7 linked regions of the Macaca mulatta genome follow. The main gene of each other region encodes a partner of the protein of the gene in region 4 in a complex. Links are inferred from orthologs where the notes say so. Each region holds a gene or a part of one and is shown on either strand. Other genes may lie near its edges. The genes, in order: GTF2H3, TAF9, TAF11, TAF7, TAF5, GTF2B and TBP.

Region 1 (3,138 bases), on a different chromosome or scaffold from region 4:
TTGTCAGTACACATTTTTTTTTTTTTTTTTGAGACAGAGTTTCGTTCTTGTCGCCCAGGATAGAGTGCAATGGCGTGATCTTGATCTTGGTTCACTGCAACCTCTGCCTCCTGGGTTCAAGGGATTCTCCTGCCTCAGCCTCCCGAGTAGCTGGGATTGCACGCACCTGCCACCACACCCAGCTAATTTTTGTATTTTTAGTAGAGACAGGGTTTCACCATGTTGGGCAGGATGGTCTCAAACTCCTGACTTCAGGTGATCCGCCCGCCTTGGCCTCTCAAAGTGCTGGGATTACAGGCGTGAGCCAAGGCGCCTGGCTGTAAGTACACTTTTTTGTTTGTTTCTTTTGAGATGGAGTCTCCCTCTGTCGCCCAGGCTGGAGTGCAGTAGCTCGATCTCGGCTCACTGCAACCTCTGCCTCCAAGGTTCAAGCGATTCTCCTGCCTCAGCCTCCTGAGTAGCTGGGATTTGTACAGGCACGTGTCACCACGCCCGGCTAATTTTTGTATTTTTAGTAGAGAAGGGGTTTCATCATGTTAGTCAGGCTGGTTTTTTTCTTTTTTTTTTGGTTGAGACGGAGTCTCCTTCTGTCGCCCAGGCTGGAGTGCAGTGGCACAATCTCAGATCTCTGCAAGCTCCACCTCCCGGGTTCACGCCATTCTCCTGCCTCAGCCTCCAAGTAGCTGGGACTACAGGCGCCCGCCACCACGCCCAGCTGATTTTTTTTTGTATTTTTAGTAGAGACGGGGTTTCACCGTGTTAGCCAGGATGGTCTCAATCTCCTGACCTCCTGATCCGCCCACCTCGGCCTCCTAGCTGGGATTACAGGCGTGAGCCACGGTGCCCAGCCTTTCTTTTTTGATACAAAGTCTCGCTCTGTCACCCAGGCTGGAGTGCAGAGGCACTATCTTGGCTCACTGCAACCTCTGCCTCGCGGGTTCAAGCAATTCTCCTGCCTCAGCCTCCCGAGTAGCTGGAACTACAGGTGGCTGCTACCTTGCCTGGCTAATTTTTGTATTTTTAGTAGAGACAGAGGTTCACCATACTGGCCAGGCTGGTCTCGAACACCTGACCTTGTGATCTGCCCGCCTTGGCCTCCCAAAGTGCTAGGATTACAGGGGTGAGCTACCATGCCCGGCCTTGTCAGTAAACATTTAAAAAAAAACAAAATAACTCAGCCACCATTCCTTAAAGTCTTTGTACAAATATGTGCTAGAAACTAAAAGGACTTTTAATAATTTCAAGATTACATAGAAAAATACACTTTTTGTTGTTGAAATTACAAATAGTTTTGCTTTTGAACTTATAAACATTTTCGGGATTCAGTCCAAAGTTTCTAGAGAACAGTTTCTATAAATATACTTAAACTTTTCGTAGAGATGGGGTCTTCTCACTTGGTTGCCCAGGCTGCTCTCGAACTCCTGGGCTCAAGCAATCCTCTGGCCTCAGCCTCCCAAAGTGCTGGGATTACAGGTGCAGTTTCAATATTAATGTGGATTTTTCCCCCATTAAAAAAGGAAAGAATTCTATCTGAAAACCATACTTAGCAGAGTCCATTTTCCCCAGTAAGTTCTCCCTCAAAACCAGTCATAAGCTTTCACATATAAGCTCTTCCCACAACTATTTTGAAGAAAATTTGCTACTTCACATGTTCTCCTTACTCATTTAAAATGAGATTTTGTAGTTATTTGGTGACAAACTATTGTTTAGACGACTTTGTCCAAATATGTACTGATATCAGACAAAAAGTAAATATCTGCAAATATCTGAGGCTATCTCAATTTAAACAACAAGAATTTTATTTACATGACGATCACAGGTAACTGTTGATTCAAATAAGACGTTCTGTGTTGATTAATGCCATTACTCTACAAATAGTCCTTTTACAAAGCTACGTTCAAATTTCCCATGCCATGCATTTCACAACGAGGACCTGGATTCAGGTAGTAGGTTAGAAAGCCTATGATCAATCATGACAAGCTGACTTTGACTAACAGTCATCCCGTTAAAAAAAAGAAAGCCACAAACATGTGCTTTCTTGCCCCTTTCTGGACAGCAACCAGTCACAGAATATTTTAGGATATATTGCATAGAATGGCTCCCTCAAACAAATCAGTCCTCCGGAAGCACAGGATAAAAAGAATGTTTGGGAAATATTTTCTGTAAGGTCACTACATTAAAAATTATCCTATATCTATCTTTATTTTTTTTAGTCTTCCCAACAAAGAATCTGCTATGTAATTTCTATTAACAGCTCTAAAAGATGGAGAAAGTATTTTATCCTCAGGCAGACACTTTCAGTTTCTTTTTCTTGGCTTTCAGTACTGGAGGCAGAGAAATCTTAAAGGCTGTCCTGAAATTACAGAGAGGAAAACATTTTTCAATATTCTAGAGCTGTGAAGTATCAGCCACCCACACAATCTCAAAGATACTTACTCGCACGTAGTGCAAATGGGGCTGAAATTGCAGAATACTGTAAATTAAAAAAAAAAAAAGAAACAATGGGGTGGCTGAAAAAACAATGCAGTTGAGAAACTGTTTTCCTGCCCCCAAACATAGAAAAAAAAGAAAAACTAGGTACATGAACTTACTTGACAAACACACAGAACAGACATAACCAATTTCAATGAGATTTCGATGACAGAAGCAAGCAGCCCTGTAGTCAACATGAACTGGGGGTGGGAGGATTAACTGAGATCTCTGATCTTGATCGGGAAGAAACACCCACTGTAAAACAAACAAACAAACAAAAGAAACTTTTATTTAAAAAATGGGAAAAAAATAACGTGAAGCCCCACCCTTCTAGGCCTTGGAACCCCAACGCCTGCATTTATTGCTTTCTCCCGAGTACTAGCACCAGCCATCCTGCTTCCATTCCTTTCCCAGGACACAGAGGTCATCCTTCCCTACAGGCATCAGGGTCACCACTGCTGTCTCCTTACCAGCAAATACTGCAGAAGGGAGGGCATCTGAGGCACCTTCAGGTACAGTCCTCCCGTGATGTCACAAGCCTGCAAGACACAGAGGGCTTGCTGCCAAACTCACACTTACCTAGGGTTTCCAGAGGAATGGGATTCTCACCAGCAATGCCTCAGGTCTACAAAATCAGAGGAGGATATGACACCGCAAATTATTATT
Region 2 (3,857 bases), about 73 Mb from region 4:
ATCAGGAATATGAAAAACAAAGATGCTCAAAATTAACCTGCAAAAAGAGACACTGATAAATTTTTTTTAAAAAAGTGGAGACATACTGGGAGACACTAAGGGTCCTTAATATAACCAAAGGGACAGAAAAATGGGACCTAGGAAGTTGGACAATTGAGGAAGATAATCAAAGCAGGTTAAGAATTCACTATGAATAAAAATCCTGACCAACTAGTCTCTCCAAAGAGGAGTCATGGTTATACTTCAGCAACTGAGAGAACAGATCACAAGAGTGACATACACCAGAGATCATACTGTGATCTATATATCTGAAGACACTTGAGGTGACATTCTAGTGGTCAACAATAGACTACAGTACTGCAAGTTGCTGCAACTGTCAACTGTTACTCCCCTTGGTGACAACAGGGAGAAAATTGCTTTTAAAAACATAACTGCCAAAGCACCAACAATCAAAGTAATGAATGACAACTTTATTTTTCTTACACTTTTAAGGCTGATGAAAAACCTTCATTTCAATTGAAAAGTATGGTAACTGTATTTACTCATTAATTATTATTAAAGTTTTCTAAAACACAACTTGAAAACATCCAGCATGCATGTTTAATATCAGTACAATGAATTCAAGACCAAGTATACATGTTACATGCAGCAAAGCTAGATTACAAATTATCATAGTCATCATCATCATCATCGTCATCATCATCATCTTCACGTTTTCTTTTCAATGCATTTGATGATTCATTGGCAGCATTTTGTGATGACACCATATTAGTGGTAATAAGAATGTTTTTGGACCCAATTAATGATGGATTAATCAGAACATTCTGAACTGCTGAGGTTGCAGGAATTGAAGCTTTTACAGCTGGAGACTGCGAAGTAGGCATCTGTACTGTAAACCTTTGACCTGTGAGGGACATGGGAGTCCCTACTTTAGTTGAAACAGACATGGTCTGTGGGGTTGGTGTGCCTAGTGTGGGAGTACTTGGTCTGCTAGTAACTGAACCAACACTTAACCGCGGGACTGTTATTCTTCCCGCAGAAGTTGATGCCTTTTTCTGTAAAGATTTCAGCCTATAGTTTGGAGCTGTTAAGCAGTATCTATCAGGTGGCAACCTAGGACCTGAATATGGCTTGATCAGTGGCAAAGGGGTTTGATTTCTTTGCCTTGCGATATCTAATAAAAAATCTCTTGGGGGAGGAGAGGTAAAAGACTGGTCAGCGCGGCACTGGATTGCCAATCGCACATCATCTGCATCAACGGTAGCTTTCTTAGCATGGCTTGAATAAATTTTTGCATCATCTAGAATTGTGGTCACATATCGGAAGGCAAACTCCAACATCTGATTTATAACTCTTGGCTCATATTCTGTAATCCCCATATCCTTCAGGATTTGTGCCATCATCTGTGCATCTTTCGGCATGCTCTTGGGAGAAGCCATCTTGCCAGACTCCATGATATCCGATGATCAGACTTTAGATCATTTGAAAAAAATATGTACATTAGATCAATCTGAAATAGTTACTTTAGTAGCAACTGTCAGGAACTTAAAAAATTTTTTAATCTATGTTAAACTGTAAAAAAATTTTTTAAATTTAAACCATATGTTTTCTTAATTTTAATGAGGCATACTTAAAATCCCTTTAATTTATTGAGTTCCTACCATGTACAAATCATTGTCAACTATAAAAAGATGAAGACACAAATAAGGGAGTGATAAAAGATTAGGGGAAAACAGGGTAAAATAAATAAAAACATCTATCATCTTAGAATATATGCAGTTGCATGCAAACCTCACACTAAGATACCATAGCATAGTCATGTCCTACACCTGAGCTCAAAACAATCTCTTTCCAGTGAGACCAATACACTCACTGTGCTCATATATATGTTCAGCAGTACCAAACCTTTGTTTGCTCAACTTGAAAACACTCTCCTTATTCACATTCTACCTCTCCGAAATCCAGTCTCTTCATAGGAGCCTTCCCAACTATTCACAAGAATTGCTAGCCATTTTCAAGGAGGAAGGGAAAATGCTCAAAATAACCAGGACATAGCATTAGACACTTAATATTTCTGTGGATTCCCTAAAAGACTATATATATATATATATATTTTTTTTTTTTTTTTTTTGAGACGGAGTCTCGCTCTGTCACCCAGGCTGGAGTGCAGTGGCGCCATCTCGGCTCACTGCAAGCTCCGCCTCCCGGGTTTACGCCATTCTCCTGCCTCAGCCTCCCGAGTAGCTGGGACTACAGGCGCCCGCCACCTCGCCCGGCTAATTTTTTTGTATTTTTAGTAGAGACGGGGTTTCATTGTGTTAGCCAGGATGGTCTCGATCTCCTGACCTCGTGATCCGCCCGTCTCAGCCTCCCAAAGTGCTGGGATTACAGGCAAGAGTATATATTCTTTAATGGCAATCTGTTTTTTGTACCTTCTGACAATACCCAGCACTAACACTCCACTATCAGACTTAAAACAAAACAAAACAAAACAAATCTAACACCAAAGTGTCCCTTACCTTCTCGAGCTAAATCACCAACATTAATGTATTTCAGTCCCGATTTTGACGCAAGTTCTTTGCCTAGTGTAGTTTTTCCAACCCCTGGTGTACCTGTAAGACAAGCCACAGAAAAATACTGTTTGTGAAATACTACTTATCACACTGCAGCCCACCTTGTGCCCTTCCTTTTTTTATTTCTGAGGCAGAGTCTCACCTGGCCTCTGCCCTTAAAGATCTTGACGACTGAAATGAAAAATTTCTAATTAGCAATAACATGTAAAAAAAATTTTTTTTTTGAGACGGAATTTCGCTCTTGTCACCCAGGCTGGAGTGCAGTGGCGCGATCTTGGCTCACTGCAATCTCCACCTCCCAGGATCAAGCGAGTCTCCTGCCTCAGTCTCCTGAGTAGCTGGAATTACAGGTGCCTACCACCATGCCCAGCTAATTTTTGTATTTTTAGTAGAGACAGGGTTTCACCATATTGGCCAGGCTGGTCTCAAACTCCTAATCTCATGTCATCTGCCCGCCTAGGCCTCCTAAAGTGCTGGGATTACAGGCGTGAGCCACCATGCCTGGCCATATGTAAATCAGCATGTACTACGATCTAATAAAAATTTTCCAAAGCTAATTGAATGTCAGAATATTACTCAGTGTATTGATTCTCCAGGGGTGGGGCTCAGCAAATTCTGACGCCAATTCAAACTGCCTGCTGCTACCATGGAACTACTCAGAATAAAATTAGCCACCTCGTGCTGGGCGCAGTGGCTCATGCCTGTAATCACTGCACTTTGGGAGGCCGAGGCGGGAAGATCATGAGGTCAGGAGATCGAGACCATCCTGGCCGACATAGTGAAACTCCATCTCTATGAAAATACAAAAATTAGCCAGGCGTGGTGGCACATGCCAGTAATCCCGGCTACTCAGGAGGCTGAGGCAGAAGAATCCCTTGAACCGGGTGGTTGGAGGATGCAGTGAGCCAAGGACGCGCCACAGCACTCCAGCGTGGTGACAGAGACTCCGTCTCCAAAAAAAAAAAAAAAAAATTAGCCACCTCGAATCAATTACAATAATTTATTTACCTTTTTCTTCTTTTTATTTATTTTTTATTTTTTTTTTGAGACGGAGTCTGGCTCTGTCGCCCAGGCTGGAGTGCGGTGGCCGGATCTCAGCTCACTGCAAGCTCCGCCTCCCGGGTTTACGCCATTCTCCTGCCTCAGCCTCCCGAGTAGCTGGGACTACAGGCGCCGCCACCTCGCCCGGCTAGTTTTTTGTATTTTTTAGTAGAGACGGGGTTTCACCGTGTTAGCCAGGATGGCCTCGATCTCCTGACCTCGTGATCCGCCCGCCTTGGCCTC
Region 3 (4,073 bases), on a different chromosome or scaffold from region 4:
TTTGTTTGTTTGTTTTTTCCCCAGACTCACTCTGTTGCCCAGGCTGGATCATAGCTCACTGCAGCCTCAAGCGATCCTCCTGTGTCAGCCTGCCAGGTAGCTAGGTCTGTAGGTGTGACCCACTCCACTAGGCCCTTTATCTGGTCTCTTGAGTCAGGTGCTTATTTGCAGTATCTTCTGGTTGTTAATAAAAATATGTAAGGCTATACATTTTTCTTTAAATAAAGCTTTGGCCAAATCCCATATCATTTGATAAAGTGTTCTGTTAATTTCTTTAGTCTAAAGGCTATTTAAAAAGTAGTTTAAAATTTCCAGGGGGTTCTTTTTTGGTGGGGGAGAAGCTTTTTGTAGTTAATTTCAAGTTTAATGCATTGCATTAACAAGATGTGGCCTGTTATGATATCTTTTAAGAATTCATATTTTTCTTCATGGTCTAGTACATGATTGATTTTTAAAAGTGTTTCAGAAACAACATAATTTTATCCTCTGTTCGGTGCAAATTTATATATGTAGTGAGCTCTCTAGTGTACCAAGCTAATTATTCAAATCCTTGCTGTCCTTGACACCTGTTTTAAAGTTTCCTTCTTGGCCAGGCATGGTGGCTCCCACCTGTAATCTTAGCACTTTGGGAGGCTGAGGCGGAAGGATTACTTCAGCCCAGTGAGTTGGAGACCAGACTGGGCAATATAATGAGACCTTGTCTCTACCAAAACAATATTTAAAAAACCTTTAGCTGGCCAGGTGCGGTGGCTCATGCCTATAATCCCAGAACTTTGGGAGGCTGAGGCAGATGGATCATGAGGTCAGGAGTTCAAGACCAGCCTGGGCAACTTGGTGAAACCTTGGCTCTACTAAAAATACAAAAATTAGCTGGGCACAGTGGCACGTGCCTGTAATCCCAGTTACTGGGGAGGCTGAGGCAGGAGAATCACTTGAGCCTGGGAGGCGGAGGTTGCAGTAGGCCGAGATTGCGCCATTGCACTCCAGCCTGGGCAACAGAACGAGACTCCGTCTCAAAAACGAAACAAAACAAAACAAAACAATACAAAAACTTCAGCTGAGCGTGGTGCAGTATGCTTGCAATCCCAGTTACTGCGGACGCTGAGATAAGAGGGTTGCTTGAGCCCAGGAGGCAGAGACTGTGCCACTGCACTCCAGGCTGGGTGACAGAGTGAGACCTTGTCTCAACAAACCAACAAAAACTGCCTTAAAGGAGCTTGCAGTGAGCCGAGATCGCGCCACTGCACATTCCAGCCTGGGTGACAGAGCGAGTACTCAGTCTCAAAAACAAAAACAAAAACAAAAAAAGAAACCTGCCTTAAAATACTTTTGTCAAATGTTCTCTTTTTCTTTTTTTCGAGACGGAGTTTCACTCTGGCACCCAAGCTGGTGTGCAGTGGTGCGATCTCGGCTCACTGCAACCTCTGCCTCCCAGGTTCAAGCGATTCTTGTGCCTCAGCCTCCTAAGTAGCCGGGATTACAGGCGCCTGCCACCATGCCCAGCTAATTTTTGTATTTTTAGTAGAGACAGGGTTTCCCCATATTGGGGATCTCCTGACCTCAGGCGATCCACCCACCTCCGCCTCCCAAAGATTACAGGCGTGAGCCACTGCACCCGGCCAAATTTTCTCTTTTTCTAAAAGTTCTTACTTTATACATTTTTATGCAACTTTATACACTGAAAGGCTATTTCCATCTAATCTACTGTTCACCCCACGATCTCTTAAATCCCTTCTAGCTCTAAGACCCCAAGATTCTACTTCCAGAAATGTAATCCAGAGAACGATGAGTTTCTGGTCCTGACCAATGTTCAGCTAGGCAACACTGCTGAACTCTCTGTAGCATAAAAACACCAGACCCAACTGATGGGTCCCTGATCACCGGGTGCTGTGGCTCACGCCTGTAATCCCAGCACTTTGGGAGGCCGAGGCGGACGGATCACGAGGTCAGGGGTTCGAGACCAGCCTGGCCAACATGGTAAAACCCCGTCTCTAATAAAAATACAAAAAATAGCCGGGCATGGTGGTGTGAGCCTGTAATCCCAGCTACTTGGGAGGCTGAAGCAAGAGAATCGCGTGAACCCGGGAGGCGGAGGTTGCAGTGAGCCAGAGATCGCGCCATTGTACTACAGCCCGGGCGACACTTTTATAAAAGTCTATCTCCCTTTGACAGGTTTGATCGACCCTCCTTCCTATAAAGAAACAAAGTTGTCTTAACATCTAAGACGAACCATATTGCGGTGAAAGGGGTGCTACGAATCCTGGGTTTTAGCTCTTGCACTGCGTCTCAGTGTGACACTGGATCCCAGTTTCCTCACCACTAAAGCCAATAGGCTATTAAAACTCCCTTAGAAGTAGCTTTAATCCCTTGACAAGACTAAAAATATTAACGCAGTGCTTGAGCCTCTGGAACGGAACCAGCACTGGAGTTCTGTTTGGTCGTCCGCTCTCTTCCCCCTCAAGATTAACGATCTGGAGGGAGTTCTGGTGAGTTCGAGTTCTCGTAACTTGGGAGGGACTAACCAGAAGCCCGGCAAGCACCCAGTAACACGATCTCTGGGTATTCCTTCAGCCTCATCGATACATCTCTTCCTACCTCGCCTTCCTCCGCTGCAGCTTCTTTCAAGTCCGCATCTGCGTCTCCGTCAGTTTCCTCTGGGATTCCATCCGTGTCGGTAGCCCCCGGGTCCCCGGACGCAGCGGCCGTCTCATCCGACTCCCCTGTCTCTCCACCTTTGTCGGAGGGCGACTCGCGGGCATCGTCCATCACGGATAGGATTGGAGGGGAGAGGAGATCGCGGCGATGTCTGAGGCAGAAGCTCGGAACCCCGAGCTGCACAGGACAGTATCTTACTTCCTGTCGTCGCGCAGCGATGACATCACCCCTACCGCTCTCCTGAGGGGTCATTTTGAGGCGCGCGTAGAGGACTAGAGGACTCATTTTAACTTTGGTTTGGCGACAGTGGGAAGCGGGAAAATTGGACGTAAAGAGCTCAGACTATGGATCCTCCTAGCTAGGAAACCAGCACTTGTGAAGGAGCGCAGTTTTGTTTACTAAATAACTTTTTCCTTTTCGCCTGTCTAAAAATTCAATACCAGTTAATCCCTTCGTTAACCCCTCAGAGTAAAGTTGGGGGATCGGGAGAAAACTCAGTTCCGTTGTATGGCGGTGTCGTGGAATGAGGCTACCCGGGATTGGTAAACTTTCAGGCAAGACTCAACCTTGTGTATTTCAACTGGCCCGAAACCGCGGGTCTGTGTGTACGTGGAATTGCTAGCATTTCCGCTCCATTCAGCAAGCACCTTAACAACAAAAAGTCATCTAGCTTGAGCAGAATTTATCCAATTCATTTATTCATCCACAACTATTGACTGCGTACTTCGATTTAGAAACAGTGCTAGTACCAGGGAACAAAACACACATAGTTTCTATCCAATTAAATGATTTTTTTTCAGTTCGCAAGTATTCAAGATTGAGGTTTGTTTCTACAAGTCTGACACTTTTCTATCATTTTGGTTAATCTTACCAAAACTAAGAGGAAAGCCTAAAGAGAGGAAGGTGTCTCCTTCGAACGTTTCACTTTAACGAACTAGTTCATGTACTGGGAGGATGAAGTGGTGAGGATATTTCTATTTTAAAATTTTCTTCTCTTCCCTCATAGAGATACGAGGGGGAGGGCGTTTTATTCACCTGGGTATGACTAGGTCCCAGCACCTATTACATATTTAATTTATGCGTGCTTAAAGAATGTCCTTGGAAATGTAGGTGCGCGTTACCATATTTATCTCTTTGTTTCTGCGCTGCCTGGACGAATTGCCGTATTTCCTGTCCCAGGAGCTCCCAAAACGTTTAGGGAAGGAGCGCACTTCGGGAGGCGCGTACAGGTGGGCCTGTTTGTCCCTTTCCACCTATATAATGGGGACCCACAAGGCGCTGTCCCCATAACCCGTGAGGCCTGTCTCGGCACAGCAAAATCCACCTGCGCTGGTCCGCGGAGCCCCGCCCAGCTAGGTGAGCTAGGGGGCGGGGCGCGGGGGCGCGGTGACGCGTGACGCCGGATCCCGGAAGTGACG
Region 4 (4,003 bases):
CAGATATTTTAAAAATAAATGGAAATAAATAGAAATAAGTACCAACTGTTACCCAGTTATGTCAAAATACTAAAAATATGTGTTGATGAATACCTGACCCTCCAAAGAAAAGACAAGCACAAAACAGCAAAATAGTAGAGGTGGAGTTAAAAAAAAAGTCAAAGTATTTAAAATTACTTGTACATGAGAAGCAGGAAACAATACTTCAATTATGTCTACTTTAACCAGATGCTCAGTCTATCAGACAATTCTGTCCAAAATGAACCTGTGCTTGCAGAAGAACACTTCCTTCTCTGCTTACATTTACATCTAAATCAAGCATATAAAAAGGAATCACCCTTGTTTCCTCAGGAGTATTACAGAACAGAAGGAAACCCAGAGGCACAATTCCCCTACAGGGAATTATATTAAACAAAATATAGACTTTGGGCCAGGCACGGTGGCTCACACCTATAATCCCAGTACTTTGGGAGGCCAAGACAGGCAAATCACCTCAGGTCAGGAGTTGGAGACCAGCCTGGCCAACATGGTGAAACCCCTTCTCTACTAAAAATACCAAACTTAGCTGGGGTAGTGGAAGGTGCCTGTAATCCCAGCTACTCAAGAGGCTGAGGCAGGAGAATCGCTTGAACCCTGGAGGTGCAGATTGCAGTGAGCCAATATTGTGCCACTACACTCAAGCCTGGGTGACAGCCTAGACTCCATTTCCAAAACAAACAAACAAACAAACAAAGAGAGGTTTAGAATTATATAGTGAGCTCCATGTCCTCCTCACTCCACTGATTTGGGTTCTTTAAAATCCATTGTATAGTAGCTACACATTCTTGTATTGGCACCAGATTGGCTAGACCCTAGGAAGCATCCGAGATGTTTCCAGAAGCAAAGACGCTTACTGCCAGGCGTCCCCCATCTCCCGGAATCACCCGGAAGTCTAGAAGCCATCCGGCCCCACAGCGATCCCTTAAAAGTGCTGGCTTAGCGGGGGACGAATCCGTGTCTTTCTTGTAACTTCCAAGCGCTAAATAGTTTGAAACCAACAGCTCTTCGAAAACACTATCATTTTCATCCCAGAAAAGCAAGTTCTCGCGAAAAGACGAGTTTCACGCTGGGCAGCGTAATTGCGCTATTGCGCCTGCGCGCGCCGGGGCTCCGCCCTTCCGGCCGGAGGGGCTGTCACTCACATCCACCTCCCGCCCCGCGTCGTGACGTAGCACTTCCGTTTTCTCTGGGCAAGCGGTCGAACGGAGGGCCGGCGAGGTGCCGGGTCTGGTTCTCCGAGCTGCGCCTCTCGGCAAGATTTCGCGTTGCCCATCCTGGGCTTTCATCAGTAATCGATAGTGGATCACTCTGCCAAGCGGCAGGAAGAATTAAGGAAACGACAAGGAGACGCTTGGCTGCCTCCCGCTTTGCTCCTTGCGGCCTCCTCTTCCCTTCGCTCCGGCCCGGTGAAACTGAACTTATAATCGTCACTGGATTGTAAGTACCCGAGGCGAAGAGAGCTCACTGAGCCCTGATGTTTTGAGTGTCTGTTCCGGGAGAGTTTGTAAATTGAGAGTATCTCTGCTGGCCTTTCTGGGCCGAAAACCGTTCCGCGGGAGCCGCCATTTGCTTTCCTGCTTCTTAGCTAGGTAGCTGTCTCCGCGTTGTCGGGCAGCGGCACCTAGAGGTTGGGACTTGGCATTGCATCTGATTTAATGAACTTAAGTCTGTGAATAAGCCTTTGTGTTAACGACTGGTATTTGGTCACAGCATATTTAGAGAAAAGACTTGGAGCTTAAATAAAAACGAAGGCAAAATAGACGCTAAGCTGCTGATCTACAGAGAACTTCTTGTAATTAAAATATTTCAATTCATAGCGAACTGGTGTTTTAAACTATTGCAGTAGCTGGAACTTTTTACGGTAACCATCATTTATTGGAGAAGTGAGTCACAAAGAAATAAAAATGAGTAAAAGCAAAGATGATGCTCCTCACGAACTGGAGAGCCAGTTTATCTTACGTCTGCCTCCAGAATATGCCTCTACTGTGAGAAGAGCAGTACAGTCTGGTCATGTCAACCTCAAGGACAGACTGACAATTGAGTTACATCCTGATGGGCGTCATGGAATCGTCAGAGTGGACCGTGTTCCATTGGCCTCAAAATTGGTAGACCTGCCCTGTGTTATGGAAAGCTTGAAAACCATTGATAAGAAAACCTTTTACAAGACAGCTGATATCTGTCAGATGCTTGTATCCACAGTTGATGGTGATCTCTATCCACCTGTGGAGGAGCCAGTTGCTAGCACTGATCCTAAAGCAAGCAAGAAAAAGGATAAGGACAAAGAGAAAAAGTTTATCTGGAACCACGGAATTACTCTGCCTCTGAAGAATGTCAGGAAGAGAAGGTTCCGGAAGACAGCAAAGAAGAAATATATTGAATCTCCAGATGTGGAAAAAGAAGTGAAACGATTGCTGAGTACAGATGCTGAAGCTGTTAGTACTCGGTGGGAAATAATTGCTGAAGATGAAACAAAGGAGGCAGAAAATCAAGGCCTGGATATCTCTTCTCCAGGAATGTCTGGTCACAGGCAGGGCCATGACTCATTAGAACATGATGAGCTTCGGGAGATATTCAATGACCTCAGCAGCAGCAGTGAGGATGAAGATGAGACCCAGCATCAAGATGAAGAAGATATAAACATCATTGACACTGAGGAAGATCTGGAGAGACAACTACAGGACAAGCTAAATGAATCAGATGAACAGCACCAGGAAAATGAGGGAACCAATCAGCTGGTTATGGGAATTCAGAAGCAGATTGACAACATGAAAGGCAAGCTCCAAGAGACCCAGGACAGGGCAAAACGACAAGAGGATCTCATCATGAAAGTGGAAAATCTGGCTCTCAAGAACAGATTTCAGGCTGTACTGGATGAGCTCAAACAAAAGGAAGACCGAGAAAAGGAGCAACTCAGCTCTTTGCAAGAAGAGCTAGAATCACTCCTAGAGAAGTAAAAAGAACTGATTCTTAATTTCAGTGTTCAGACTGATCAGCATTAGAAAATTCTTGGCTTTATTACTTGTACTGGATATTAACACCTTGCACTTCCTAGTCCCTCTAATGCTGTGTGTTCTGTTAAGTTCTTTCATTTGTTTATAGTTTTGTTTTTCAGCAAATTTACATTGTTTTGCTAGGTGTTCATCCTATAAGAAGCAGGATTGTATAGGCAGAAAAATGATAGTAGGAAAGTTGCAGGATTAGTGGAATGTATGGTTCAACCTTAATTATAGCTCCACTGCAGGACTTTGCTGTTTCTCCATTTTCTAGAAGCTGCTGTTGCTGCCTTATGATGACATGAGATCAATAAGAAGAACCTAGTCTAGAGACAGTGATGCTAGTTTGCATATGTTTTCCCATGCAATAGCTGTTTTCCCAGTTACTCAAAGCAGTTTCCCATATGTAGAGATGCAAATTTTATTAAGTTGTTTACAATACAATAAATAAAAGCATCTGTTTTTCACTTTGTAGTGTATCTTGTTCTTTCATGGTTGGTGGGAGTCAGGTCCCTTTTGAGGTGGTTTCGTGGTGGAGTTTAGTGACTAAGAAATTTGATCCAGTTCTGCAGGTAGAGGCAGTTTGGTTTATGAAAAAAAGCAACACAGCAGGGGTAAAGAAATTGGGAATTGTCATGTTTGCATCATATTAAGATTCCAGTTCTATCTGATCTACTTGAAAGCTGGGAAACATTAGATACAGAGCTTTCTTAAACTACCCTAATTTTTGTAGATGAAGGCCTTTGTGCCTTTTTTAAAAAGCTTACTAAATCTACCTGCACAAAATGTTGGAAACAAAGCAGTGGTTATCAAGTGCAGTCCAATGAATCATTCCATTGGTTTGGATTAAGATTTTATTTCTATTTTTCTTCAGTTGAGTTCTTATAATTAATAATCTGAGAACTGAGGTCATTTATCAATGTCATTTCATCAAAATTGCTCATAAAGTAAGTCGGTACCAAATTTCTCAT
Region 5 (3,500 bases), on a different chromosome or scaffold from region 4:
TATGCACGTGCACACACACTATGTGTGTATATATATATGTAAAAATGTACATACTTCTCAAAGAATGACTTTGCTTCATTCTCATGTTGATTGTAGACTAGCTCCAAGTACATGTGCACAAACAAAGGATAAAAGAGTTGGGATAACTCTGCCCGATGGCAGTCCAGGGAACATTCAATGAAGTGTTTCAGTCCACTATAGTATTCTTCATACATTGTGGGATCTCCTTGTTGGCTGTAGGCCGACAACACAGCACTGACATCTGGCTGGTCTTCCACAGCAACACTTCCAACTGTTTAAAAAACAAAAAACAACTTTTAAGAAAATGACCTATTATGACCATGTGACTATGGCTGTTTTGTTAAGGCCCAGAGGTGAGTTGTTGCTCAGATTGTTGTCTCTTTCTTCCCAACGTCTCTTCCTCAACACAATCACATAATCTTTTTTTTTTTTTTTTTTCTGAGAGGGAGTCTCGCTCTGTCACCAGGATGGAGTGCAGTATGGAGATCTCAGCTCACTGCAACCTCCGCCTCGCAGGTGAGTCTCTTGCCTCAGCCTCCCAAGTAGCTGGAACTACAGGCATGCGCCATGCCCAGCTAATTTTTGCATTTTTAGTAGAGACAGGGTTTCACCATGTTTGCCAGGATGGTCTCGATCTCTTGACCTTGTGATCCTCCCACCTCGGCCTCCCAAAGTGCTGGAATTACAGGCATGAGGCACCGCACCTGGCCCACACAGTCTTTTTTTTTTTCTTTCTTTTTGAGATGGAGTTTCAACTCTTGTCGTCCAGGCTGTAATGCAATGGCACGATCTTGGCTCACTGCAACCTCCGCATCTCGGGTTCAAGCAATTCTCCTGCCTCAGCCTCCTGAGTAATCCTACCCAATACAACTCCCTACTGCTCTCAGGGTAAACAAAGATCTTCAACATGGCCCAAGAACCAGCCTATTCTTTTTTTCAATGCCTTCACTTTAACAATAGAACCTGCCTACTGTTCCAGTCCCTAACTAATTCCCAGGGCATGGTGGTGCATGCCTGGGATTACGGGCATGCACCACTATGCCCCCTAATTTTTGTATTTTTAGTAGAGGGGGGGTTTCACCATGTTGGCCAGGCTGGTCTTGAACTCCTGACCAGAGGTGATCCACTCGCCTCCCAAAGTGCTGGGATTACAAGTATGAGCCGCCGGGCACAGTGGCTCATGCCTGTAATCCCAGCATTTTGGGAGGCCGAGGCAGGCAGATCACGAGGTCAGGAGATCGAGGCCATCCCGGCTAACACGGTGAAACCCCATCTCTACTAAAAATACAAAAAATTAGCCGGGCATGGTAGTGGGTGCCTGTAGTCCCAGCTACTCGGGAGGCTGAGGCAGGCGAGTGGCGTGAACCCGGGAGGCGGAGGTTGCAGTGAGCCAAGATCACGCCACTGCACGCCAGCCTGGGCAACAGAGCGAGACTCCGAGACTCCATCTCAAAAAAAAAAAAAACCAAGTATGAGCCACCGCGCCCAGCCATAATCTTTTAATGGAATTTTTTTCACTTGTTTCAGTCACCCAAACCGAAACCTGTCAGCACATCCATATCTTAAGATAACAATAACAGGCCATCACGGTGGCCCAGCATTTTGTGAGACTGAGGCAGGCGGATCACAAGCTCAGAAGTTCAAGACCAGCCTGGCCAACATGGTGAAACCCTATCTCTACTAAAAATACAAAAATTAGCTGGGTGTGATGGCGCGTGCCTGTAATCCCAGCTACTCGGGAGGCTAAGGCACAAGAATCACTTGAACCCAGGAGGCAGAGGTTGCAGTGAGCCAAGATCGCGCCACTGCACTCCAGCCTGGTGACAGAGCAAGACTCCGTCTCAAAAACAAAAAAAAACAATAAGAAGAAGAGTCAATATTCCTCCTGGAACTACCTTATGTTAAAGACAAATTGTATAAAAGATGGTATGTGCAAATCAAACAACTACATTAACTTTCTCTCAACGCTCTGTTCAAATGGCACCCATTACCACCAAGCCATGCACTGCAGTAACATTCCCAGTTCTCTGAGCCACCCAAGCACTGTGTAACATTCCTGTAACATATCCCATCCTGTGTTCCCTTCACATTATATACATCTCTTACCCCTTATAAAATGTAACCACTTAAGGGTGGGAAGGACCATGCCCTATTTATATCTTCAAAAGATAGTTATATGCGGCCGGGAGCGGTGGCTCAAGCCTGTAATCCCAGCACTTTGGGAGGCCGAGACGGGCGGATCACGAGGTCAGGAGATCGAGACCATCCTGGCTGACACAGTGAAACCCCGTCTCTACTAAAAAATACAAAAAAACTAGCCGGGCGAGGTGGCGGGCGCCTGTAGTCCCAGCTACTTGGGAGGCTGAGGCAGGAGAATGGCGTGAACCCGGGAGGCGGAGCTTGCAGTGAGCCAAGATCACGCCACTGCACTCCAGCCTGGGCGGCAGAGCGAGACTCTGTCTCAAAAAAAAAAAAAAAAAAAAAAGATAGTTATATGCTTAAAACAATTTCCATAACCAGCATTTCAAAACAGAAAACATAACTATTTATTTGTAACACAGCACCACCTAACAATACATCTGTCAATTAAATCAGAATTTGGTTGTTGGAAATATTTGTAAGTTGCCATTATAGTACACTTCGCTCTTTACTGCACAAATGTGATAATTTCTTCGGTTACTCTGATGGCCTCTTTTCCTCCTTACTGATTTCTCAGTTATGATCTATAATTAGGTCAAGTTTCTGAAGAGATAAGAGATTACAGCAAAATAACCAACAATATAATTCATCTTATAGTTCATTCACAAAATTCAACATTAAAAAAAGATTCCTCTCAAACACTTTTTTTTTTTTTTTTTTGTAAAGACGGAATTTTGCTCTGTTGCCCAGGCCGGAGCGCAATGGCGCTATCTTGGCTCACTGCAACTTCTGCCTCCTGGGTTAAAGTGGTTCGCCTGCCTCAGCCTCCCGAGCAGCTGGGACAACGGCACATGCCACCACGCCCAGCTAATTTTTTTGTATTTTTAGTAGAGACGGGGTTTCACCATGTTGGCCAGGCTGGTCTTGAACTCCTGACCTCAAGTGATCCACCTGCCTTGGCCTCCCAAAGTGCTGGGACTACAGGCGTGAGCCACCGTGCCCGGCCTTCAATCCACATCTGCACACATTTCTATTTATGGATTAAAATGAGATATGAATACAATGCTATGTATTCATACTTCATTTCTGGCAATGCTGCAAAGATTAGGCCTCATACAGATTAATTTGGCTAAAAGCTCTGCACTGGATAATTCAATAAACATTTATTGTCAGCTCAGGATCACCTCTGAGACCTTATATTGTATATGAGTTTTACTGCATGGATTTGTGGCAACAGTTGCTGTGAGAAAGCAGTGGCTCAGGTGTCAGGAACACATACAGAGGCATAAACTTATCCATACCAAACATTTTACATATACATATTACAAGTGCCTCACGTG
Region 6 (3,963 bases), on a different chromosome or scaffold from region 4:
GAAACATCTGAAAGATATGAAGAGTGAGGAGTAAGGTAGAAAATCTATACAAAGCTGAAAAGTATAAACTAGCCATACACTGTAACATGGATGAACCTCAAAATACTGACAGAAGCTAGACAGCAGAATACATATGCCATTTATGCCAACTTCAAAGCAGGCAAAACAAATTGATGGTGTTAGAAATCAGGATGCGGTTTTCTCAAGGGAGGGGGAATGACTGAGGACAGAGACTTTGCTAGTGTCTTAGCTAGTGCTAGTGGTATCTGATTTCCTTACCTGGGTAGTAGCCATGTATGTGCTCACTTTGTGACTGAGCTGCCCACTTTTAAAATCTGCGTGCTAATGTCATTAAAAAAAGGTAAAAGCAAGGTAGTGAATGGAGTTTAAATCAGGTCACTTTTGGGGAGAAGAGAGGTTAGAACTATTTGTATACACTTGTTAAATCATAAGCACGAGGAAAACACCAAAAGACTAGTAACTATGGCTGATCTGGGGAGACTTGAGAGCCTACTTTTCATGGTTTTAGTCTATTGTAATTTTGCTTTTGGACCATTTGTATGTGTTACCTATCAAAATAAAAGTATGCTAAATTAGTAAACTTTTAACCAAATTACCCACAATACAAAAGAGGAACCATACAAATGGGGTGGCGCAGGTGGTAACAGAGAGAAACAATGGGGAGGAATAGGGAAACCACCACCACTGACATTAAAACATCTAAAGTACCAGATAATCCCAAACCCCATTTTAGAGCTATCATTTATTGGGTATGCACTGTATTGCTGGTGTTACACATTCATTATTGTCAATCTCCACAGCAATCCTGCAAGAAAGGCCTATTTCCCATTTTAAAAGATTATGCTCACAGAATGATTTGCCTGAAGTCATGGAACTAGTAAGTGGCGAAGCTTACATTTGAACTCAAAATATTTGTATTCTTCTGTGAGGTCACCAGCCAGTTTCACGGCCTAGCAACAATACATCTTCCTGAGGGAAAAACATGCAAAAGATAGAAATAATATATTTAGGCTGGGCATAGTGGCTCATACCTGTTACCACAGCACTTTGGCAGGCCAAAGTCGGAGGACTGTTTGGGCCCAGGAGTTCGGGCCCAGCCTGGGCAATGTAACTAGGCCTTGTCTCTACAAAAATAAAAAGTAATAAAATTAAAAAATAAAAAAATTAGCCAGGCACACTAAAAAAATTAGTGTGCACCTATGGTCCCAGCTACTCAGGAGGCTGAGGTGGGAGGATCACCTGAACTGGGGAGGTCATGGCTGCAGTGAGCCATGATTGTGCCACTTGCACTTCAGCCCAGGCCTGTTCCAAAAAATAAAAAATTCTACATTTAACTTTGTCACTGATAGAAAAACTTGAGCAATAACTGCCATGATACATAAATTGCACATATCTAGAAAAAAATTCAGACTTAAAAAGCCATGACAGAATTTAAGTCATATTTGAGTGATTTGGGAAGCCAAAGTTTTCTATTTACCTACAAGGAGGCCTCACCTGACAGACCACCACCCAGACAGAATGAGCATCCAATCCAAGAATCAGAATCAGTAAACAAGAGTGTCACTGGCTTTATAAGTTCTGTTCAAACAGTACATTAGCTAAAGCGCATCCCACCCCAAATTCTTTTCTTCTAACCATAAAATGTAAGTCTTGGCAGTTACCAGAAAAGGCTATTTTGTAAAAATGGCTTTCACTGTGAAATTAACCAATTTCACAGCTGATAGGGTCAGAAAAATGGTGCCAGAGTTCCAGAACCTGTAGAATTAATTTGATACTTTTAACACAGCATTAGTTAACCAAAGGCCAGGTGTGGATAACAAGAAACAGGTTATCTTAGACTCTACACTCTAACACTATCCTTGGTAAAGTCAACATTGGCATGACTCAGTTTACACTTACGCAAAAATACTAATATCTACCTCATAGTGGTAATGAGAGATATAATTAGGGTCTGCAAGCATTTTTCAGGTCACAAGATTAAAGGCTGTCTCTGAGGGTACTGCATGCATTTCCTGTAGATATGAGTACATTGCATTTTTAAATATATACTGAAGAGCAACCTCCCAGCACACATAACTAAATTTCTTATGCAAGATTTTCTTCAGAAGGACACAGGCAACGATATTTGTAAACAAATCCTTTAGCATGGAACTAATCAACTCTTCCGATGGCTCTAACTTCCACTTTCGAGGCCCGCTGTGATGGTAACCTGGTTCCATCTGGCTTACCAATGCTGACGTTCCCAACTTCCTAGCTGTCAGATCGATAGGGACCCGGAACCAACTATTTCCCGTTCCTTTGAAAAGGAGAAATTACGGACCTCGGGTTGTTTGGGCCGTAGACGAAAACAACAAGCTGGGGGAGGGGCGGAGGTAGAAGGAGAAGAAAATAAAGGGAGGTTGAAATATTCAGAAAAGACGAGGACAAGGGCTAGGGACACAGAAGCCCACCAGGACCCACAAAGGGTGATGTCTACATGAGAAGACGACATAAGACTCCGAAGCAATAACGTCAACAGCTGGGTAACCCCTCCGACACCCTGACAGTCCTGCCGTCTGGAAGTGCCTTTGTCCCGGCCGGTCGGCCAGTCCCGCCGCTTCTCTCCCATACCCCTCGGTGCTTAGTCCGACTAGGCTGCCCGGAGGCCGCCTGAAAGCCCGCGGCGCTCGCGCCCGCCCCTCAGCTCGCCGGGCTGGGCCGGACATACTAACCGGCTGGTAGACGCCATCTTCAGGGCCACTGCGGTGCCCGCAACAAGCCACAACAGATCCGCCGAAAACAGGAAACGAGTGTGGCGAAGAGACGCGCAGAGATGAGTTTTTATAGACGACTCACCCACGCAGTCGTAACAGAGCGGGGCTACGGGTCGGGAGAAGGGCCAAGAACAGTGAGATCCCATACGTCACGCGCTTTGAGATTTCTTACGTTTTTATTCCGTTTCTGTAATTTGCTATGTTGCTAAGCGAGTCAACGTAACTGCCTAGGAAGAGTCTCATGGGAACCCTGCAAAGGGGCTACAACAGAGCTACTCTCAATCTGACAGAGTTAAAACACGAAGAAAACCCTGGCTTCGTAGTGGTGCCAAAGCCTGCATCCCTAAAAGTCTAACCACCCCTTCCTCTCCCACCTTCTCACCGCCACCCCCCGGCCCCAGTACCCCACCCGGCTTCAGGCACTCCCATTTGAGCCGGTTCTTACGTGCCCCAAGGGTGATTCTTTCTAAGGAATTCAAAATAAAAAGAGAAATTCACTTAGGTCATCCAGAACAGGTGTCTCTTCAGGCTCTGTCATCAACTAGCATGTTATCTTCTTAGGCACGTCGTTTTGATACAGGGTATGTAGGTTTATATAGGTTATAGTATCTTGCCTTGCATACCCTTTTAGAATTGGCAGGAGATGAAACAAAATTACGTGAGACCAATGTGTGCATGAGAGGCACGACGATATGGGTCATACTCTGATCATTTTTTTTTTTCATGGCCTTTGCAAATTTGGCTGATAGCTACGTATAGAAAACTTGGCAGAACATCTAGATAATGCAAAATATCCCTAGATTAGCCAAATTAACGTCAAAATAGTAATACCACTACTACTAACAACAATAACACTGGTGGAGGGTGTTCAGGTTCTTGACGTTTTGAACAAAGAACTGGACAAAACGCACAAAGCAAGGAACGAATGAAGCAACAAAGGCAGATTGAAAACGAAAGTACACGCCACAGAGCGGCAGCGACCAGGGCAGAGGAGCTCAAGACTACCTTTACAGAATTTTCTGGGGTTTAAATATCCTCTAGAGGTTTCCCATCGGTTACTTGGTGTACACCCTATGTAAATGAAGTAGTGACTCCACAATCAGTCTGATTGGTTGTGAAAAGCAACCAATCAGAGGCTAAAGAGAAGTTACAAAGTTACACTCCTATGCAAATGTCTGATTGGTTGCTT
Region 7 (3,949 bases), on a different chromosome or scaffold from region 4:
TCATTTTCAAAAACAGATCATTAAATGCCCTTCCTTGCCTTTTGATACCATCTCTTGCCGTTCAGATTTCCGCCCTCCCTATTCTCTCCCTCCTGCTGTATTACCTGAGGGGAGGCCAAGCCCTGAGCGTAAGGTGGCAGGCTGTTGTTCTGATCCATGATGTTCACTTTCTTCTTGGCAAACCAGAAACCCTTGGGCTGGAACTCGTCTCACCATTCAGTTTTTTCCTAGAGCATCTCAGGCACACTCTTCTCAGCAACTTCCTCAATTCCTTGGGTTATCTTCAGACACCAAGAAACAGTGATGCTGCTTTGGAAAAAAGTCTGAAGTTTAATTTAAGGATCCAGGTAACCTATACAGTCCTATAAGCCAGTTCCATGGCTATACAAAACACAAACATGAAAACCAATGAAGCTATTCTGGAGTACATTTGTTTTTACCTTATAATCCCAAAGTCTTATTCCTTCCAGGTTTCCGGTGATTGCATGTAAAATCGCCAACAAAACAAAAATCATTTTGTTACACGTTTAAATACTCAGATAATGCTCAAAATTAAGCTGTCATAACCAGCATTAAAAACTTTTGAGGAAAAACACCTACAGAAAACTAATTCCAAAAGAAACTGTAATATCAGAGTAGGATATTTATTAAGCACTGTATACACAGCACTGTTAGGCAAAGTTCAGATCTTTAAATATCCCAATTTTACATCCTCTACAATGTCTTGGGCAAAAAATTAAGTAACTATTAAATTCAATCCAATATACTTCAGAGTGATCATTTATCAAGCTCCTACTGTAATGAAACTATAAAAAAAAAGCTGCACAAAGATAAAGCTCTGAATTTTTATAAACGTAATAACCTTACCTCTTTAGAACACAATAGTGCAAACTGTGCGTTTTATCTGACTATTCTTAAATCGTCATCACTTTACTCACTATACATCTGAAATGAGTTTATAATAACATATTCTCACATGGAACTTAGAGGTCTCAAAGTTACAAATTATATGTCCAAAGACCCTTCAGGCATATGCACTTCAAGCATGTGCTGGTACAAAGTAGACACTCACATATTTGCTGAATATATGAAAGACTCTGACGATCACTTTGAAAGGGCAAAGGCCCCCAAAAACTATCTATGCTATATACTCATCACTGAAAAACAGACCAAAAAAGAAAGCAAGCTGTGCTTCTGGAAATAAATGTATCAAAGACATTTTTTAAATTATGCTTTTTTTTTTTTTTTGACAGTTATCCTATAATAACAAAAGTGCTGCAGATGAGGATATAAAGATAGGAAGATGTAGTCCCTGGCATCAAAGTGTTCAATATGAAGGGTATGCAAATAATTACTGTAAAACATAGTATTATAGTAGCAGGTATGGCCTAAGCTAAGTCTTGAAAGTCTACATGTCTTTGTGATCTCTGCATCTAGCACTATGCCTGGAATGCAGTATGTGATCATGAATGAGCCCATATACACCCCTGGAAGAGAAGACAATAAAGACTAACAGCCAATTACTATGAAGAGAGGGCAGTGTTTTCACAAAGCAGGGACCATCTAACTTGGGTCTCACAAGGTGAGTAGGAATTTACAAAACAGGGCTTCAGACAAAAGAGAAATCAAGCAGAAAGAGATAACAGATTGAAAAAAGATGCAGAATGCAGGCGACAAGCTTAGTATGACTGTATAGAAGGTCACTGCAGATGAAATAGCACATATTGGTGGGCTCATACTATCAGGAGTTTTAAATGTTACTGCATAGGCAATAATAACAGTTATGGAATTTTGGAAGTGCAGTATGAATAGATCTAATTTGGCAAGACTAGACGAATTTGAGAGGAGTAAAACTAGAGGCTGGAAGTTCCGCTTCAGGGATCTAAGGGTGAGGCAAGAGATAATGACGGCAGGATTTAAACCCATTGTAAGTAGGACTAGAGATTTATTTATCCAGGACCTGCGGTGGCTTCAGGCCACTTTTTGCAAGTAAGTCTACAGAAGAAACCGTACGGTGATTACTGCACTAATTTATCTCAGAAAAGAGTTGTTTGCTGGGTATCTTCAGCTCTTGGAAATTGAAACATCAAATCCGGTATTTTTTGGAGGCAATCAAATTAATTCTGCATAGCCTTCTAGTGTCTGTATAACTAAATGAAGCACAGTCTTTTCACAGAAAAGCCTACCTAGAGATTTGGAAAACCATGATGGCCTGACCGAGAGATGGGAGGCCCCGTAAATAAATGGTGTGTATTATATCTTAAGCGCTACCGTGCCCGCTGTCTCAGGATTCTGACAAAATACTTAAGTCTCAATGTTGGTAGCAAAACAGGCGGGCACAGACCAGGGTGAATCTGCCTTCTAACATGGAGAAGAAGCGGTGGCAGGACAGGGCAGGGTAAACTTCAGGTCTTCGATGCAAGGGACTGTCCTGTCCCGCCCGCCGCCGCCCCGTCAGTAGTACCCTGCGCCCCACAATCGTACGATGGGAAGCCGCTGGCGACACACAGCAGAGTAGGGCACCAGGCGGGAGCGGCGGCCGAGCGGCCGTTACAGGCCGGAACGGCGGCAGCACGAGAGGGAGGAACGTCCCCCGCGGGGCCTGCACGCGCGCCAATTCCTCTTCTCTTCCCCACCATTGTCCCCAGGCCTCAATGCAGTGGTCGCCTCCGCCCGAACCCTCAGAAAAGAGTACAAGCTGTTACCTGGGTCACTGCAAAGATGACCATGGGCCAGAGGAAACGAAGTTTCACAGCCGGCGGCCCAGGCGCCCGCCACAGCGAACCTGCCTGACCTCACTGAACTCCTGGCGCGCGTTGATAATGTCACTTCCGCCAGCTCTGCCCTCGGCTTCAGCGAGTTGCTCCCACTAGGGCCGAGGCCCTGGGAAGTGTGGGCATAGGTCACTTCCTGTGTTTCCATAGGCGCGGAGCTTAAGGTAAGGAGGGGCGAAGCTCTTGAGGAGTTCCGGGGCGGGGCCGCCGTGCCACAGCCGTCTCTAATTGGCCCTTGCTGGACATAGGACAGATCGATTTTTAAATGGTTATATGTGTGTGTGTTTTGTTGTTGTGGTGGTGGTTTAAAGCAACTAGCGGTGTTACCTTTGGCAAGTTACCTGACCTCTCCCCCGCAGTTTCTTCTGTAAAATTGAATAGTGATAATAGTGCTTACCGTTGGGCTGTCGGGAGATTGACAGAGACTGACAGTACTTGGCACTCAGTAAGCGCGTGCTCCTTACCTGTGCAAGAACGCTAGCTGATCTTCAAGGGTGTAGAATGACAAGGAACACTAAGCAAAACAAACGGCTTGTGTTTACACACGCATTTATATTCAGTTCTGCCACTCCCGTTTCATGCACTGTGGTCACAAGGCTCTATCCGCAGTTGTTTCTTAGTGGGACTAGAACTTAGTGGGAACTGATTTTCCCTTCTGTAGTTCATTGTGGCGTAGTCACATGTTATACTGCTCGTTTTCTTTGTACTCTTTATTATCAGTGAGGTTGTGAGCTCTTTAAGGATAGGAAATGTTATATACATTTTTTATTAGCCAGGACAATTAACGCGCTCACCGTTATTCGAGTTGGCGTTGCGCCATAGTTCTGCCAATGTTTTTGTATGGTCAGACTTAAATTTTCGTCCATTGGGGTGAATTCCAATGTTTTCTTCGACGGGGGGCGGGAAACCTTTACTTTTCTGTCAGCTTTTTTGGAATGGGCGGGACCCAACTACCAAAGGGACAGGCCGCCCTGCAGCCCTCCAGGAGCAACGACTAGCGCAAGATAGAGAGGCCGGGAGCGAACTTCAGGAGAAGCCGGAAGTGGCGTAACGTCCGGTCAAGGCAGCCATCTCGCCGTGAGACAGCAGGTGTCGGAGCTGGAGCTGCAGGCGCAGCCGTGCGATGTTGTCCTCCGTAGCCATGTATTCGGCTCCTGGCAGAGACTTGGGGATGG

What was found.
Region 1: TAF7 (region 4) and GTF2H3 share a complex: the UniProt entries of both Homo sapiens proteins name them as parts of the TFIID-containing RNA polymerase II pre-initiation complex. The link is inferred for Macaca mulatta from reciprocal best matches to the Homo sapiens genes TAF7 and GTF2H3.
Region 2: TAF7 (region 4) and TAF9 share a complex: the UniProt entries of both Homo sapiens proteins name them as parts of the TFIID basal transcription factor complex. The link is inferred for Macaca mulatta from reciprocal best matches to the Homo sapiens genes TAF7 and TAF9.
Region 3: TAF7 (region 4) and TAF11 share a complex: the UniProt entries of both Homo sapiens proteins name them as parts of the TFIID basal transcription factor complex. The link is inferred for Macaca mulatta from reciprocal best matches to the Homo sapiens genes TAF7 and TAF11.
Region 5: TAF7 (region 4) and TAF5 share a complex: the UniProt entries of both Homo sapiens proteins name them as parts of the TFIID basal transcription factor complex. The link is inferred for Macaca mulatta from reciprocal best matches to the Homo sapiens genes TAF7 and TAF5.
Region 6: TAF7 (region 4) and GTF2B share a complex: the UniProt entries of both Homo sapiens proteins name them as parts of the TFIID-containing RNA polymerase II pre-initiation complex. The link is inferred for Macaca mulatta from reciprocal best matches to the Homo sapiens genes TAF7 and GTF2B.
Region 7: TAF7 (region 4) and TBP share a complex: the UniProt entries of both Homo sapiens proteins name them as parts of the TFIID-containing RNA polymerase II pre-initiation complex. The link is inferred for Macaca mulatta from reciprocal best matches to the Homo sapiens genes TAF7 and TBP.

The regions. Positions count from the first base shown.
Region 1 is NC_133416.1:131,085,397-131,088,534, reverse strand, and holds the end of GTF2H3 (general transcription factor IIH subunit 3), read right to left. Parts: intron 3,012-3,138; coding exon 2,943-3,011; intron 2,728-2,942; coding exon 2,592-2,727; intron 2,474-2,591; coding exon 2,437-2,473; intron 2,354-2,436; coding exon 2,284-2,353; 3' UTR 501-2,283; downstream 1-500. UniProt on the Homo sapiens protein: Component of the general transcription and DNA repair factor IIH (TFIIH) core complex, which is involved in general and transcription-coupled nucleotide excision repair (NER) of damaged DNA and, when complexed to CAK, in RNA transcription by RNA polymerase II.
Region 2 is NC_133411.1:77,439,702-77,443,558, forward strand, and holds TAF9 (transcription initiation factor TFIID subunit 9), read right to left. Parts: upstream 2,614-3,857; 5' UTR 2,613-2,613; coding exon of another isoform or gene 2,520-2,612; intron 1,472-2,519; 5' UTR 1,455-1,471; coding exon 660-1,454; 3' UTR 501-659; downstream 1-500. Other genes in the region: AK6 (adenylate kinase isoenzyme 6), read right to left, coding at 2,520-2,612. UniProt on the Homo sapiens protein: The TFIID basal transcription factor complex plays a major role in the initiation of RNA polymerase II (Pol II)-dependent transcription.
Region 3 is NC_133409.1:147,388,174-147,392,246, reverse strand, and holds the start of TAF11 (transcription initiation factor TFIID subunit 11), read right to left. Parts: upstream 2,801-4,073; 5' UTR 2,767-2,800; coding exon 2,596-2,766; intron 1-2,595. UniProt on the Homo sapiens protein: The TFIID basal transcription factor complex plays a major role in the initiation of RNA polymerase II (Pol II)-dependent transcription.
Region 4 is NC_133411.1:150,152,934-150,156,936, reverse strand, and holds TAF7 (transcription initiation factor TFIID subunit 7), read left to right. Parts: upstream 1-1,211; 5' UTR 1,212-1,943; coding exon 1,944-2,993; 3' UTR 2,994-3,503; downstream 3,504-4,003. UniProt on the Homo sapiens protein: The TFIID basal transcription factor complex plays a major role in the initiation of RNA polymerase II (Pol II)-dependent transcription.
Region 5 is NC_133414.1:115,518,789-115,522,288, reverse strand, and holds part of TAF5 (transcription initiation factor TFIID subunit 5), read right to left. Parts: intron 293-3,500; coding exon 55-292; intron 1-54. UniProt on the Homo sapiens protein: The TFIID basal transcription factor complex plays a major role in the initiation of RNA polymerase II (Pol II)-dependent transcription.
Region 6 is NC_133406.1:151,712,191-151,716,153, reverse strand, and holds the start of GTF2B (transcription initiation factor IIB), read right to left. Parts: upstream 2,801-3,963; 5' UTR 2,750-2,800; coding exon 2,733-2,749; intron 1-2,732. UniProt on the Homo sapiens protein: General transcription factor that plays a role in transcription initiation by RNA polymerase II (Pol II). Involved in the pre-initiation complex (PIC) formation and Pol II recruitment at promoter DNA.
Region 7 is NC_133409.1:1,494,713-1,498,661, forward strand, and holds the start of TBP (TATA-box-binding protein), read right to left. Parts: upstream 2,801-3,949; 5' UTR 2,706-2,800; intron 464-2,705; 5' UTR 441-463; intron 310-440; exon of another isoform or gene 307-309; 5' UTR 159-306; coding exon 105-158; intron 1-104. Other genes in the region: PSMB1 (proteasome subunit beta type-1), read left to right, coding at 3,898-3,949. UniProt on the Homo sapiens protein: The TFIID basal transcription factor complex plays a major role in the initiation of RNA polymerase II (Pol II)-dependent transcription.